Linked DNA regions of Arabidopsis thaliana. The protein of the gene in region 1 interacts with the protein of each later gene in a pairwise test. Each region holds a gene or a part of one and is shown in the gene's direction. Other genes may lie near its edges.

The links.
Region 2: the proteins of AT5G63930 (region 1) and AT2G43880 interact in a protein complementation assay, tested with the Arabidopsis thaliana proteins (one large-scale study listed by BioGRID).

The regions. Positions count from the first base shown.
Region 1 is NC_003076.8:25,579,250-25,588,724, forward strand, and holds AT5G63930 (Leucine-rich repeat protein kinase family protein), read left to right. Parts: upstream 1-2,446; 5' UTR 2,447-3,756; coding exon 3,757-6,688; intron 6,689-6,766; coding exon 6,767-7,143; 3' UTR 7,144-7,371; downstream 7,372-9,475. Other genes in the region: TOP3A (topoisomerase 3alpha), read left to right, coding at 1-27, 105-204, 297-335, 518-596, 724-795, 939-1,010, 1,174-1,341, 1,498-1,618 and 1 more; AT5G63940 (kinase with adenine nucleotide alpha hydrolases-like domain-containing protein), read left to right, coding at 9,005-9,185, 9,272-9,354, 9,468-9,475.
Region 2 is NC_003071.7:18,170,355-18,176,476, forward strand, and holds AT2G43880 (Pectin lyase-like superfamily protein), read left to right. Parts: upstream 1-2,534; 5' UTR 2,535-2,679; coding exon 2,680-3,126; intron 3,127-3,223; coding exon 3,224-3,513; intron 3,514-3,596; coding exon 3,597-3,825; coding exon of another isoform or gene 3,826-3,852; exon of another isoform or gene 3,853-3,909; coding exon 3,910-4,128; 3' UTR 4,129-4,320; downstream 4,321-6,122.

The DNA.
Region 1 (9,475 bases):
AGAAGCAATGACAATTTTCTTTGAAAGGTAGTCTCGTTACTTTGTTCAGTACTGTGTAGCTGAAGTCTATTTCTTCGTAATATAATATGATACTGCATGTGCAGATCTAATAACACTGATGAGAGTGAAAGTCAGACAGCTGGTGAAGTTGTCCGACGATGCAATCTCTGCAATGAATCAGATATGGCACTCAGGAAGAACCGGGTATCATATATTCTGTCTGAACAAAATTTTCTCTGTTCTCCCTATTGTTAATGGGAACCACAGGTTAAACGTTCTATTCCCTTTCTTTGCAGGATGGCAATTTCATGGTTGGGTGCATGAATTATCCTCAGGTCAGAATTTCACCGCTCTTTACATACCATATATATTGTTGGAAATTTAAACTTTTTGCTCTCTGTATTGTAACCTTATTTCTGAAGATTATGATCTAATCATTTGACATTTCAGTATTTCTTCGTTTATGCTTCCTTGCTTACATCTATTATATTAATTTCACACATTTTCCTTTCTCTAGTGTCGGAATGCAGTCTGGCTTCCTGGACCGACATTGGAAGCATCTGTCACTACTAATGTTTGTCAATCCTGTGGTCCAGGTATAGCCACAGATTCTCCAGTATAACAGTGAATTGAATTTCAAAAACTAAATTACACTTGGATGACACAGCGTGTACATGTGTCTTTCTGTCTTTATTATTAAATGGTGCCTTTCTCTTTCTGTAGGCCCGGTCTACAAGATACTTTTCAAGTTCCGTCAAATTGGAATTCCACCAGGCTTTGATGTTAATCACTTAGGTAAAAAAAATTGCAGCCAATTTGTTTTCTTGTTTACCAGGCTTTGATTTTTTTACCAGGCTTTGATTTTAATGTCATCACAGCCACCGTGCCAATTTCATCGTGACTTCTTCTAATATGTCCTATGGTAATGTTGTGATCAGGTTGCGTGGGTGGCTGTGATGACATTCTTAAACAGTTGATAGACATCTGTGGAACTGGATCCCGTTCTCAAGGTTAGTGCTTTGTTGTTACGCAATACATATACCTTTGTATTAGACATCATACAATCTTTCTTTCATCATCTTCTGTCCTAAATGAGAATGCAAGAACTTTAGTATAGTGTCTTGCGAATAGAGAACATTTAGGCTAAAAAGAATCAATGATTTGTTCTTGCAGCAAGGAGAACTCCAGGTACTGCACCGTCAAACAATATCCAAGGAAGCAACACAAGACAGAGTAATGTCTGCATACATTGTCAGCAACGAGGACATGCTTCCACGAATTGTCCCTCACGGGTTCCAGCATCTCGAAATTCTCGTCCTACTGCAACAAATCCGAGAAACGGTACTGATCCTTGTATAATAGTTTAGCAAACAAAGATCATCGATTAGCTTTTGCTAGTATGTACTATATACTAGTCAAAATTCAAGCAAATTGTCCAGACCAAGTCTTCCTTATTGACATGTAATTTATATTCTAGTATTGTTGGTTATAATGCAGATGAAAGTACAGTATCATGTAACACTTGTGGATCACAATGTGTTCTTCGTACAGCCAACACAGAAGCTAACAGGGGAAGACAATTCTTCTCATGTCCAACACAAGGCTGCAGTTTCTTTGCGTAAGAGTCTGGTTTTACCCCAATTTCTTCGCATAATCCATTTTTTTTTCCTTTTACATCACTCAACACATCAGTTTTTTGTTTGCACTGCTTGTAAACAGATGGGAAGATAGCATAAACAACAGTAGTGGGAATGCAACAACAGGGTCTAATAGCGGCGGGAGCGGTAGACGTGGCAGCCGTGGTCGTGGCCGTGGAGGTAGAGGCGGCCAAAGCAGTGGAGGACGACGCGGCTCTGGAACAAGCTTTGTCTCTGCAACTGGAGAGCCAGTGAGTGGTATAAGGTGCTTCTCATGTGGCGATCCTTCACATTTTGCTAACGCTTGTCCTAATCGTAATAACTCTAACGGTAACTATTTCTAAGTCTACTTACTACGAACTTTGACTATGTATGTAGCATGATTAATTAGTGCTACTAACTTAATTTGGGTTTTTGTATTTTATTTTATTTTATTTTATGACCACTTTTTCTCTGGAATTCATCCTAATTTGCGTAGATCACTGTTAGCTGGATATTTTAAATATAATATTTCACGTGCTATTCTGAATCACTGAATAGTTTCCACCTATTTTATTTATAAATCTTGAATAGTCGTTTTTAATTTTTAGTTATGTTCTTAGTGAGCTAATGTGGATCCATATTTCATCATTTTTTTTGTATTGTCTCATAATTCATAATTCATACATCAACTATATCACTATGTATATGCCATTGATCTTGAGTCTAGACATGGTCAAGTAATAGATATTAACAAAATGCTTAAGCTACAAAGTTTAGTCCTCCGAATTTGTTTTTAGAGATGGTCAAGTAATAGATATTAACAACTGTTAATAACACAAACCACAGTCGTTTTGCTCTGTAAGAAAACGACACAACAACCGGAATAAACGCCGTTTTGTTGTTTAAAAACGGCACACCAATTTTCAGTCCATTTTGAACATAAAAGATTTAAAATTCTCAAATCGAAATTGAGATAACAGAGGATCCGGCGAGCTTCTCCGGCGTAGGATTCGGGTCATTTTCTTCGGCAACTATGAAAGGGAAAAAAAGAGAGAGAGAGGTGATTACTGATTAGGCCGTCTCCTGTGGAACAAGAACGCGTTTCTTCTTACATTCCTCATCGAAGGAGTTGTTGTAGCCACTTGAGGTACTTTTCATACTAATCTTGGAATTTGTATAGCTTGGTTCGGTATATTGAACAGTCAATTAGGTATCTTGCTGTGAATGATCAAGTGGGTACTTATCATTGCCTCTTCTTAGTAGTCTCATTACAAGACTGAAGTTTGGTCTCAAAATTGACAAGCTTCTCGAAGCATTTGTCCTTGGACTATAACTTATAGTCGAGCTTGTTGTCCCTTCTCCAGTTGTTATCTTGGTTGTCGTCTGTATATAGAAGATTAAAACAACTGTTTTGCTTGGAGTATAATTGATACTTTACAATAGAATAATAATGCACGAAATTGAGGTCGTGAGAGAATGAGGAAAGCCAAGTTCTCATGCCATGTCGGCCATCTCTATCTTGTTGATTTGAGTACTTAGAGTCTATTATAGCTTCAAAGTTACAAAAAGGACCATCATTTTTAAGCCTTGTAGTTCTCACTTTGACTAATTCATGGCTTACTTTATTTGTTGCTTCAAAGACAAAACGAATATTGAGTTTCTTTTTTACTTGAAATAAACAAAAGCAAAGCTGATAGGCTTCTGAAACTAATATTAAAAGACAGGCCAGTACTAATAGAAGACTTTTTTAATGAACAAATTTCAAACTTCAAAGCTTTCAATGATCAAAAAACTAATCATAGCTTGACCATTTCCTTTTTATATTGTTTTCCTGGAAAGAAGAAAAAAAGGTCTGCACCTCTTCTATTCTCTCTTTTTCCTTTCCTGAAACCAGTTTCAAAGGTTGTTTTCTTGCCTAGAATTTTCATAGCTATGTGTCTTGGATCCAGATCCATAGTTTAGTAGGGCCTGTATTCTTCTTTCAAATATGCTTGTTATGCTACATGATTTGAGTTTTTTTGGATGGTTTTATGGTATGTAGTCTTTAAGAGATGTACAAAGTGAGGTTTTTGCAGACATGATTACATCTTGTTTGATGTCTTCTAATGAAGATTTAAGGGCTTCTGTGTATGCATGAATGGTAAAGGAAATGATGAAGCTTGCTGTTTTTTTCATATCTCTTCTTCTTATCCTTCTGATCTCTGAGACAACAGGGTTGAACTTAGAAGGTCAATATCTTCTTGAAATCAAGAGCAAGTTTGTGGATGCTAAGCAGAATTTGAGAAACTGGAATTCAAATGATTCTGTACCTTGTGGATGGACTGGCGTGATGTGCAGCAACTATTCGAGTGATCCAGAGGTTTTGTCCTTGAATCTGTCTTCGATGGTTCTCTCGGGTAAGCTATCACCAAGCATAGGTGGATTGGTTCATCTGAAGCAGCTGGATCTGTCATATAATGGGTTGTCAGGGAAAATTCCTAAGGAAATTGGCAACTGTTCAAGCTTGGAGATTCTGAAACTAAACAATAACCAGTTTGATGGTGAGATACCTGTGGAAATAGGTAAGCTTGTGTCTTTGGAGAATCTGATCATATACAACAACAGAATCTCAGGGTCTCTCCCTGTGGAGATTGGGAACCTTTTGTCTCTCTCTCAACTGGTGACTTACAGTAACAACATCAGTGGACAATTGCCCCGTTCCATCGGCAACCTCAAGAGACTGACAAGCTTCCGAGCCGGTCAGAACATGATCTCTGGAAGTTTGCCTTCTGAGATTGGTGGATGTGAGAGCTTGGTCATGCTTGGTCTTGCACAGAACCAGTTGAGTGGTGAATTACCAAAAGAGATTGGAATGCTCAAGAAACTTTCACAGGTGATTCTTTGGGAAAATGAGTTCTCAGGGTTTATCCCCAGGGAGATTAGCAACTGCACAAGTTTAGAAACCCTTGCTCTCTACAAGAACCAGCTTGTCGGGCCAATCCCGAAAGAGCTCGGGGACCTTCAGTCGCTGGAGTTTCTCTACCTTTACAGAAACGGGTTGAATGGAACGATTCCAAGAGAGATTGGGAATCTCTCATATGCAATTGAGATAGATTTCTCGGAAAACGCTTTGACCGGAGAGATACCTTTGGAGTTAGGGAACATAGAGGGGCTTGAGCTTCTTTATCTTTTTGAGAACCAACTCACAGGTACCATCCCTGTGGAGCTTTCTACTTTGAAGAATCTATCAAAGCTTGATCTCTCCATCAATGCTTTAACGGGTCCTATTCCCCTGGGATTTCAGTATCTAAGAGGACTCTTCATGCTGCAGCTGTTTCAGAACTCCCTTAGCGGGACCATACCTCCAAAACTTGGCTGGTATAGCGATCTCTGGGTTCTTGATATGTCCGATAACCATCTCAGTGGAAGAATTCCAAGCTACCTCTGCCTTCACTCCAATATGATCATCTTGAACTTGGGTACAAACAACCTCTCTGGCAACATTCCTACTGGAATCACCACTTGCAAAACTCTGGTCCAACTTCGTCTAGCCAGAAACAACCTCGTTGGTCGGTTCCCATCCAACCTGTGTAAACAGGTTAATGTCACAGCCATCGAGTTGGGACAGAACAGATTCCGTGGTTCCATCCCTAGGGAGGTCGGGAACTGCAGTGCCCTACAAAGGCTGCAGCTAGCAGACAATGGCTTCACGGGGGAGCTACCTAGAGAGATTGGCATGCTTTCACAGCTTGGGACCTTGAATATCTCATCCAATAAGCTTACTGGAGAGGTCCCTTCTGAAATCTTCAACTGCAAGATGCTTCAGCGACTAGACATGTGTTGCAACAATTTCTCTGGAACCTTACCAAGTGAGGTAGGTTCCCTCTACCAGCTTGAGCTTCTGAAGCTCTCAAACAATAATCTTTCGGGTACAATACCTGTGGCTCTAGGGAACTTATCTCGCTTGACCGAACTACAAATGGGTGGAAACTTGTTCAACGGTAGCATTCCACGGGAGTTGGGCAGTCTGACGGGTTTGCAAATAGCATTGAACCTCAGTTATAACAAGCTTACCGGAGAAATACCACCTGAGCTCAGTAATCTTGTTATGCTTGAGTTCCTGCTCCTCAACAACAACAATTTGTCTGGGGAAATACCAAGCTCTTTTGCTAATCTCTCCAGCTTGCTTGGTTACAACTTCTCATACAACAGCTTAACTGGTCCTATTCCACTTCTCCGTAACATATCCATGTCTAGCTTCATCGGTAATGAAGGGCTTTGCGGCCCGCCGCTCAACCAGTGTATCCAAACACAGCCTTTCGCGCCTTCTCAGTCAACCGGGAAGCCCGGAGGAATGCGTTCGAGTAAAATCATAGCCATTACTGCAGCTGTGATTGGCGGGGTCTCTCTCATGCTGATTGCTCTCATTGTCTACCTCATGAGACGCCCAGTGAGAACAGTCGCTTCTTCTGCTCAAGATGGCCAACCATCGGAAATGTCTTTGGACATATACTTCCCTCCAAAGGAAGGATTCACGTTCCAAGATTTAGTTGCAGCCACTGATAATTTCGACGAGAGCTTTGTAGTTGGGAGAGGAGCTTGTGGAACCGTCTACAAAGCGGTTCTTCCAGCCGGGTACACTCTAGCTGTCAAGAAGCTGGCATCAAACCATGAAGGCGGCAACAACAACAATGTGGATAATAGCTTTAGAGCAGAGATTCTAACTCTTGGGAATATCAGGCACCGTAACATCGTCAAGCTACATGGATTCTGCAATCACCAAGGATCAAATCTGCTTCTGTATGAGTACATGCCCAAGGGAAGCCTTGGAGAAATACTTCATGATCCTTCATGCAACTTGGATTGGTCTAAGAGATTTAAAATCGCTTTAGGTGCGGCTCAGGGTCTCGCCTATTTGCACCATGATTGCAAGCCGAGAATCTTCCACCGGGACATAAAATCAAACAATATACTGCTTGACGACAAGTTTGAAGCTCATGTGGGAGATTTTGGACTAGCAAAAGTGATTGACATGCCACATTCTAAATCCATGTCTGCTATTGCTGGCTCCTATGGCTACATTGCCCCAGGTAAAGTTTTTGCTTTTGTTTGTGCAATTAAGTATCCAATGAGGGAACTGAAATTAAACTGTTTTAACAACTTTGCAGAATATGCATACACCATGAAAGTGACAGAGAAGTCTGACATCTATAGCTACGGGGTGGTTCTACTGGAGCTGCTAACCGGAAAAGCCCCGGTTCAGCCAATAGATCAAGGAGGAGATGTGGTGAATTGGGTGAGGAGTTACATAAGAAGAGATGCATTGTCCTCAGGAGTTCTTGATGCTCGGTTAACGCTAGAAGACGAGAGAATTGTCTCTCATATGCTCACTGTGTTAAAGATTGCACTTCTTTGCACAAGTGTGTCTCCAGTCGCGAGGCCATCGATGCGACAAGTTGTTCTCATGCTTATTGAGTCTGAGAGATCGGAAGGAGAACAAGAACATTTGGATACAGAAGAATTGACACAAACAACTACCCCATGACACAATACACATTCTTGTTGTATCTTCTTCTTTTTTCACACGAGATTATTCTTCTATGTAACCATGGCGAATAATTATTGTAAAGTCTATACGCACGCAGCTATATCAAAAGATATAAGCAGTATCTATATCTACAAGTTACCGTTAGGTTTAATTAATTAGTGTTAATCCAATCATTATCCATGGGACCCAAACGGTAATTACCGTTGTCTTTTTAGTATGAACAGGTAAATAGTAGTACTCTCTAACATTGGATATTGTTTTTGGTCATTGGATCATTTAATAGATCATAATTTAATACTATGGAAGTATCCATGTTATAATCAACTTGATTTTTCATAGTGATTAGGTCTATAAATTATTGTTAATTTAATGAAGACACCAATAATAATACGGTCACTTTTGCTCTGGAAATCATAATTAGCGTAGATCACGGTTAGCTGGATTTGTTATAAATATAATATTTCACGTGCTATTCTGAATCGTGCCCACCAGATTATATATCTAATCTCTTCTAGTTTTTAATTTTAGCTATGTGGTAGTGAGTTAATGTGGATCTGTTTTTCTCAATATTAATTTTGTTAAATAATTAGTCCTCTTAGTCTTCACTTCTCTAGGGATATGATTTTAAATCAAACGAAAAGATTCGAGTCATACTAAGACTTATTCGTACGCCATGAAAGTTTGAAAGGTCTTTTTTTCCTTTTCTTCAAACTGAAAATTCAAAATAAAGGATAGGATATGAATAATCGAGAAGTTCATCTTTAAGTAAATGTGATTAATATCTTAGTTATAATATCATAATGCCAAACATTATCTTGCGTGTATTAACAATATCATTATGGTTAGAATTGAGATTCGTTAACAATACTCGAATCACTATGAGATCTTTAGCGATAGGATGATATGTGTATTCCTAACTCGATCATGAACTTTAATATGTGCTAGAAACATCTAATGTAGTTTCTGTTTTTTCTTTGTCGTTCCCAAATTCCAATGTAAATAAGGTATCTAATTACCTCATAAGATAATTCCTAGTAGTCTAATTTAGAATACTTCTTTAACAAAAAAAACATCCAAATATATACTTTTCACAATTTCTACTGAATGTAGTGTGTTGGTAAGTTATGTAACAAATTATTGAGGAAAACCATCAAAACAACTGTAAATTAAAACCACCTACAATATAAGAAGAAACATTAGGTCTCATCTTTTATTTTGTTAAAACATTAGGTCTCTTCACCGACGGATCTATTTGTGTCCTCTACTTTTAGCCATTCTTTAAGAAAAAAGAAATGAAAAAAAATGAGGGAATTGGCTACCCTTTATTGAAAATGAAACATGCATGATTTGTTTTCGTTAGAGATGAGAAATATAATGACATAATAAATAAGAATCCAAAGTGAAGAAGAAGTTGGAAAACAAAAAAAAAAAAAAAAGAGAGAAAAAGATTCTTTTGTCCATTAAAAGAGAATGAATGATAACGATGTCCATTATTATTCTCCGTCCTCGTGCTTAATTTAATTATCTTCCCCTCTTTAATTAAAACTAATTAACTATTAGAGAACAATAAATAATTAAATAGTATAGTAAGAATCGGATCGTAAGGTAAATCAACGGCTGAGATTCATTCAAACCAGAGGACACAAAACATCTCTTCTCTCTCTCCCACTTTTTCTCCCGGAGACAGTTAACGTGATTCGCCCTTTTCTCTTTGCCCAAGAGCTATACGACAATACCTCCACCACACCCCACACACACACACGAGAGACAGAGAGAGAGAGAGAGGAAATTTGCTACTGAGAGATACATTCAGTGAGTGTGTGTCTGTCACCGTGGAGGAGAAACGGAAGGAGGATAGATGAAACCGACCGGAGAAGGAGGAGGGGAAGTCGCCGGAGCGGTGGCGGAAGGTTCGGCGTTGTTAATTGTAGGAGTAAAGCCAGATGAATGGAGTAGAGAGGTTCTTACATGGTCTTTGGTGAATGTAGCGCGTCCTGGAGATCGAATCGTTGCTCTTCATGTTCTCGATTATTCTCTAGGTTTGTTTAAACCCTCGATCTGAGATTATTCTGTTTGTTTATTTGTTTCTAATTTTGATATTTTTTGTTGGTTTTGGTTTGTGTAGAGGGCTCAACGTCGCTTATTTCGTTGGTTAGGAATTTTGATACTATGCTTGGTGTTTATGAAAGCTTCTGCAACTTAAAACAGGTAAAAAGTTTCTCCATTTATGAAAATTTGTCATGATTTTAAGTGAAATTTGTTGTCTTTAGGGTTGGATTAAGTTTTCTTAAAACTGAAATTTGATTGATGTTGTGTAACAGGTAGATTT
Region 2 (6,122 bases), on another chromosome or scaffold:
TTCTTTCGTATACTTGAATGTTTTCTTAAGTCAAACATTTGATTACTCACATTTTTCAAGTTCATGCATTTAAATTAACGTGCTAATGGCGAGACTAAGAAAGATAAGATTTTTAACTACTCGAATATACTTTTCCGGTAATTACTTAATTAATATTCAAGGTCAATTGGAGGATCATGATGCCGAATGAGTACTAATTGCATTCATGTTCAAGGGATCGAAGTTGATTTGTGACTCAACCCTTTGCTTAAACCTAGAAGAGTGGTGCTATATGAAAATTTGAGTATGTGCTATAGGATAAGCTTTTAGCCCAAGTTATGTATGTTTTTAAAAAACATTTCGTTGCTTTCTTTAACTAGAAAATATATGTATATTATAATATATCTAGTATACCAACCAATCCCAAGTAAAGTAAAGCTTATTGAAACTAAACCAAATCAACTTATGAATCAACATATTTTTTTCTAATATAATGTAACTTCAAACGAAACAAAAAACAATCAGAATTTATTTTAAATTAATTGTTTAGATAAAAATACAATGAAAAGAGTATTATTTAATTGTTCGGATAGTAATAATACTAGTGATTATTCATTTCTCGGCTTAGTTTTGAAAACTGATCAAAACCAAACCAGAAAAAAACTATAAAACCGTATGAAATACTGAAAATCCCAATAGGTATGTACATAATGATGTATGATATATCTGATCAAGTATAAGGATTCGAGTATGCGACCATATAGTCATATACCAATCATCAAACTATATATAGATTTTCAAATATTATTTATTTTACAGACTCATAATTATGTTGTCTATGGCTGATCACATGCATTGCAAGATCTCAAAAATATCATGTATAAATTCACGTAACACATTTATTACGCATGCATATATGCTTTGCCGCATTTATGTAGAAGGACATCATGTTGAGTTCATGTTTCTCTTTGATTGTTACGTATTTTGTCTAAATACTGACCAAATATTAGTTGTTTCGTTACGTAATTATGTTAGTTGAGGTTGGAGACTGATTTTCAGAAGCAATTTACACCTTAATTAGTAAATATCATTAACCGCAGTAACATACTGATATTTACTGGCACTGGTCCTTCAATCTTCTAATTATAGTTAAACTAAATTTGAAAATTTGATCATGTCATAAGAGCAAGAAAAAAAATTCGTGAATAATTCTTTCATTTTTATGGGCTTTTAGTATTTTAGAAGATAGAGTGACCATTTTATTTAATGTAGTCGTTGACATTTACACACTATATTAAAACTCGATATAGCCATGTGATCATGATGGATATAAACTCAAATCGATTTGTTAATTGAGAAGCCAATCTAATTTAATTATTCAACATAAAAAATAAACAGTCTATTTTTGTGTCTTCAGATGGCAATTGTTATTAGTTTTCATCGAATTGATCCAGCCATCTACATACATAACATAAAGGCGCGGGGAAATTAAACATACATCATATTTGTAGACTTGTAGTTGTGAATTTTGAAAAAGTAATACAAAGTATGTAATGGAAAAAATGTATCGTTTCTAGACTTGGAAAACGTTGGGCTTTGAACCAGAAGAAGGAAACATATTGGGTTTCTGAAAGGTAAACGAGACCTACAAATACAGTCCTTCATAAATAATGGGCCCATAACATCCATACTTGTGTGAGACAGACGTTTGTTATGTCTTCAATCATGAACATATAATTCCTTTTTTTCATTTTTTTCAGCAAGAACAAATAATTCTTAATCAACTTACAACTTTAAATTTTTTATGCTTGTTATATGATATTATGTTAAGGCATGGCTCAATGTTTTTAGATTTTCAACCAAGGCCTATATTGAGAATTTGAGAGCTTATAACTTTTTCTTTTCTTTTCAACTGTACGATAAATTAAAATAATGTATAGAGAGGTTTGCAGGAGCCATGCCTTGCATATATTCCCGCCCAATTATCCTGCAGAATTTTCTCCACGTGACATTACAGTAAATTCCAACAGTGCATGATAGATAATTTTTGTTTCTAAGTTTCTTCTCCACTTGATTGATATATTCTGCTGTTTTATTTACCGCATTATACATCAGATTCACCTTCTTTACCGAAGTTTGATTACAAATTTACAAAGTATCGTGAAATCGTCATGGGTAATAAAATCATGACACCAACATACTAAACTTGAAATCTTAAAAAGCATAAACAGAAAAAATAATATTATTATCTGAATCAATTGATTAAGTTCAAAAGAATATCAAACTGTTTATGTAAAGAGACAAAAAAAATATTTTCTGATTCAGTGAATTAAGTTGATAAGGAAACTGATCAATAAGCATTTGCATATAGATAACGTGGAAACTGAGAGTACAACTTTGTTTTGCAATAATTCATGCATGCGTCGCTTTATCGACTAATATTCGTACATAACAAGTTGTACTCACACAAGTCATAAGTACATTATCATTAAATAACATAGACTATGGAATCAAGTAACATTTAGGTCACTTATATTTTAATGCACCGCATCTAACGCGATTAGTCATTAATACACGGATCGTCCGATCTAAAATAAAATTTGTTTTTATTTTATATATACAGTATATAACCTTTCTCATTATTTCTTCTTAAATCATTACAATCATCACAAAGCCATCGCAAATTAGAAGAGATTTAAGATGGCCAACAACATCTCCTTTCCTTGCGCCATCATATTTTTCTCTATCAATATTTTCTTCTTAATCAAGTCATCACACGCAATGCCATCGTTTAACGTCCAAAGGTACGGAGCTAGAGGTGATGGGAGAGCAGATGCGACCAAGTCCTTTTTGACAGCTTGGTCATTAGCCTGCGGCTCACGGGCTCGAGCCATGGTCTACGTTCCCCGTGGAACATATTTGGTCAAAAACCTAGTCTTTTGGGGTCCTTGCAAGAACATTATAACTTTCAAAAACGATGGAACACTCGTGGCTCCAGCGAACTACTGGGATATAGGTAATTCCGGTTATTGGATTCTTTTCGCTAAAGTAAACCGGATCTCGGTTTACGGTGGCACCATTGATGCTAGAGGAGCTGGTTATTGGTCTTGTAGAAAGAAAGGTAGTCATTGTCCTCAAGGTGCAAGGGTATGTTTACATCAAAACTAGCGGATTTGATTTGTTCATTTATTAGCTAGTTATATTAATTTGATTTAATTATAATTGGACATGGCTTCTTTTGCAGTCTATATCGTTCAGCTGGTGCAATAACGTTCTACTAAGTGGTCTATCGTCGTTTAATAGCCAGAATATGCACGTCACGGTTCATCATTCTTCTAATGTTCGGATTGAAAACGTAAGAATTAGGGCTCCAAGTGGAAGCCCTAACACCGATGGTATCCACGTACAGTCTTCTTCTGGAGTCACCATTAGTGGCGGAACCATTGCGACCGGTGATGACTGCATTGCACTTAGTCAAGGATCTAGGAACATTTGGATCGAACGTGTCAATTGTGGACCGGGACATGGAATCAGGTAACTAGGAATTCAACAATAATCAACTTAAATGCGATGGTTGAGTGCCAATTAAAGCAATTTTGCTTGTAAATGTGATGCAGCATTGGGAGTCTTGGGGATTACGCTAATGAGGAAGGTGTGCAAAATGTAACCGTTACGAGCTCTGTTTTCACCAAGACGCAGAACGGAGTAAGAATAAAGACATGGGCTAGGCCTAGCAGAGGGTTTGTGAATAATGTGGTATTTCGAAATTTGATAATGAATAATGTTGAAAATCCGGTGATAATCGATCAAAACTATTGTCCTAATGGAAAAGGTTGTCCTCGCCAGGTATATAATCTAGTCAATTTAGCTTAACTCAAATCCTAAATCTAGTCTTTATTTAATGGAATCTTATTATGATTGATCAAACAGAGCTCTGGAGTGAAGATAAGTGGAGTGACTTTTGCAAACATAAAGGGGACATCAACAACACCAATAGCAATGAAGTTGGATTGTAGTGGAAGCAATCATTGCACAGGGCTTAGGTTACAAGACATTAAGCTTACTTACATGAGAAGATCATCAGCTTCTTATTGTAGGAACGCCCATGGACGAGCCTCTGGAGTTATGGTTCCAAGGAATTGTATGTGAAATCATGATCCATGATTATTTATTTGGGTTTATATAGTACATGTAAACCCTAAAATTGTTGGATGTAGATATATTCTAAAGTGATATTTGTTTGATGTTTTTATAACCTTAGATTCATCCGAATTTGAATGTGGTGAAACTCTTTGGTGTGAATGAAATTGAAAAAAAGGAAAAAGAGAGAAGAAATCAATTTGATTGTTCGCTTATCAATGTGCTTGTGCCATATCTGCTTTGCTTGTGAAAATCAATTTCGTAACGGTAATAGGTCATATAATAACAAGGGATAATAAAATAGTAAATTTGATCCCAAAAAAAGTAACATCCTTTTTCTTTTTTTTTGATAAAAGGTTAGGGTTAACAAAAGTTCCATCTGACAGATCCAATTGACTCATTTTTATTTTATTTGATGGTTAATATATTGGCATCACAAAAAAAATAAAAAAAATACAATGTTGAATCTTAACTTCTCTCGATTCAATGATTTTTGTATCACAAGGGAAAAAATAAACTATGACCATAAAAAATAATAAACTGATAGTGAACCTGTAATGAGAGTAATACAAGTATTGTATGTTTCATATCGTGTCGTGTGAATGGTGTGGAAAAAAAAAACAAAAAAACAATCGTGTGAATGGTTTGGATGACGTGTCTATATAAAATTGGTTGAGGCTTTTAGGTTGACTATGTAGCACCGCAAGATTCGGAGGACGGAGGGTCTCTTTACTATTTAACCGCTGAGATCTGATCTCTTCCGTTCCGTTATCACATGGCACGTGCCAATTACCATAACATAAGGCTCATATTATGATGAAATATATGTTTTTCTAATTTAATTGGTTTTGTTTTTTTATAAAAATTATTATCCAAGATGGAACAAATGAAATCACTTTTGTTTGAGATCACGTAATAACCTTACAAAAGTTATCCTTCTTACTTGCTCTGTTATCCCCCTTAATTCTCTGTGCATCTTTTGAAAATACCTTCGGTCTAAAGCCAACATGTTCGAAACTTTGAATATTGAAATTAATTACAACAAAATAACTAAACTTATTGATTTGGTTCGCTGCAGAAGATAACCATTAATAATTAAGAATTGAGACCAACCGTCATTGATGACGTATATTAATATTTAATCTTCCACTTTATAACTTTTTATAGGCATCGTTTAAGTTTAACTAAAAGCCAATACAAGAACAAATCGAACTATTGATATCTCTAACGGTGAAATGACTGGATTTCGGTGATGATTAAATTTGGATGAAATGACACTAGCGACATTGTGGAAAATGTTCCTTTGATCAAAGGTTCCCTCGCGATATTGGACACTCACCCTACATTAGATTCATCTGCAACACATTCCTTTGAAATGTCGTCGTTCTTCACCATTATATGCGCTAATTAAATCGGTTTCTTTCTGATGAGCAAGAACCTGATGATACTAAACCTTAGTTCTTCTGCAACTAACCTAATAAATTATTATTACTTGCTCTGTAATGCCTTCTTAGTTCCCTGTAAAGCTTTTGATAATACCTTCCGTCCCAAGCCAACATGCTTGAGTATTCAAATCAAAAATTATTAATTACGCTAGTTGGAGAAGAAAATCATTTAAGAATTGAGACTAACCGTCATTGGTAACGGTACGGACTACGGCCCATCTCCATTTACGTAAACCCCATCTGATAATTATTCTAATACATGTTGATTTCCCAAATGGCCATATATTTAATTATGTTACATCCCATGTTACATGTTGCTTATTACGTGATACGTAAACATTGGTTGACTTTCAGTATTCTTTCTTTTTTTCCTAAGAGTTTTTGTTGACTAACGCTGGTCAAGACCGTAGGATTCGGTGGCGTTTCTTCTTCTACGGACACGATTGAATATAAGATTTCCATAGTCCACATGTCACATGCCATAAATTATGCAACACATGAAACCTGATCCAATTTATGTATATTCTTAGATAAATACTGGAGTATATATATTAAATA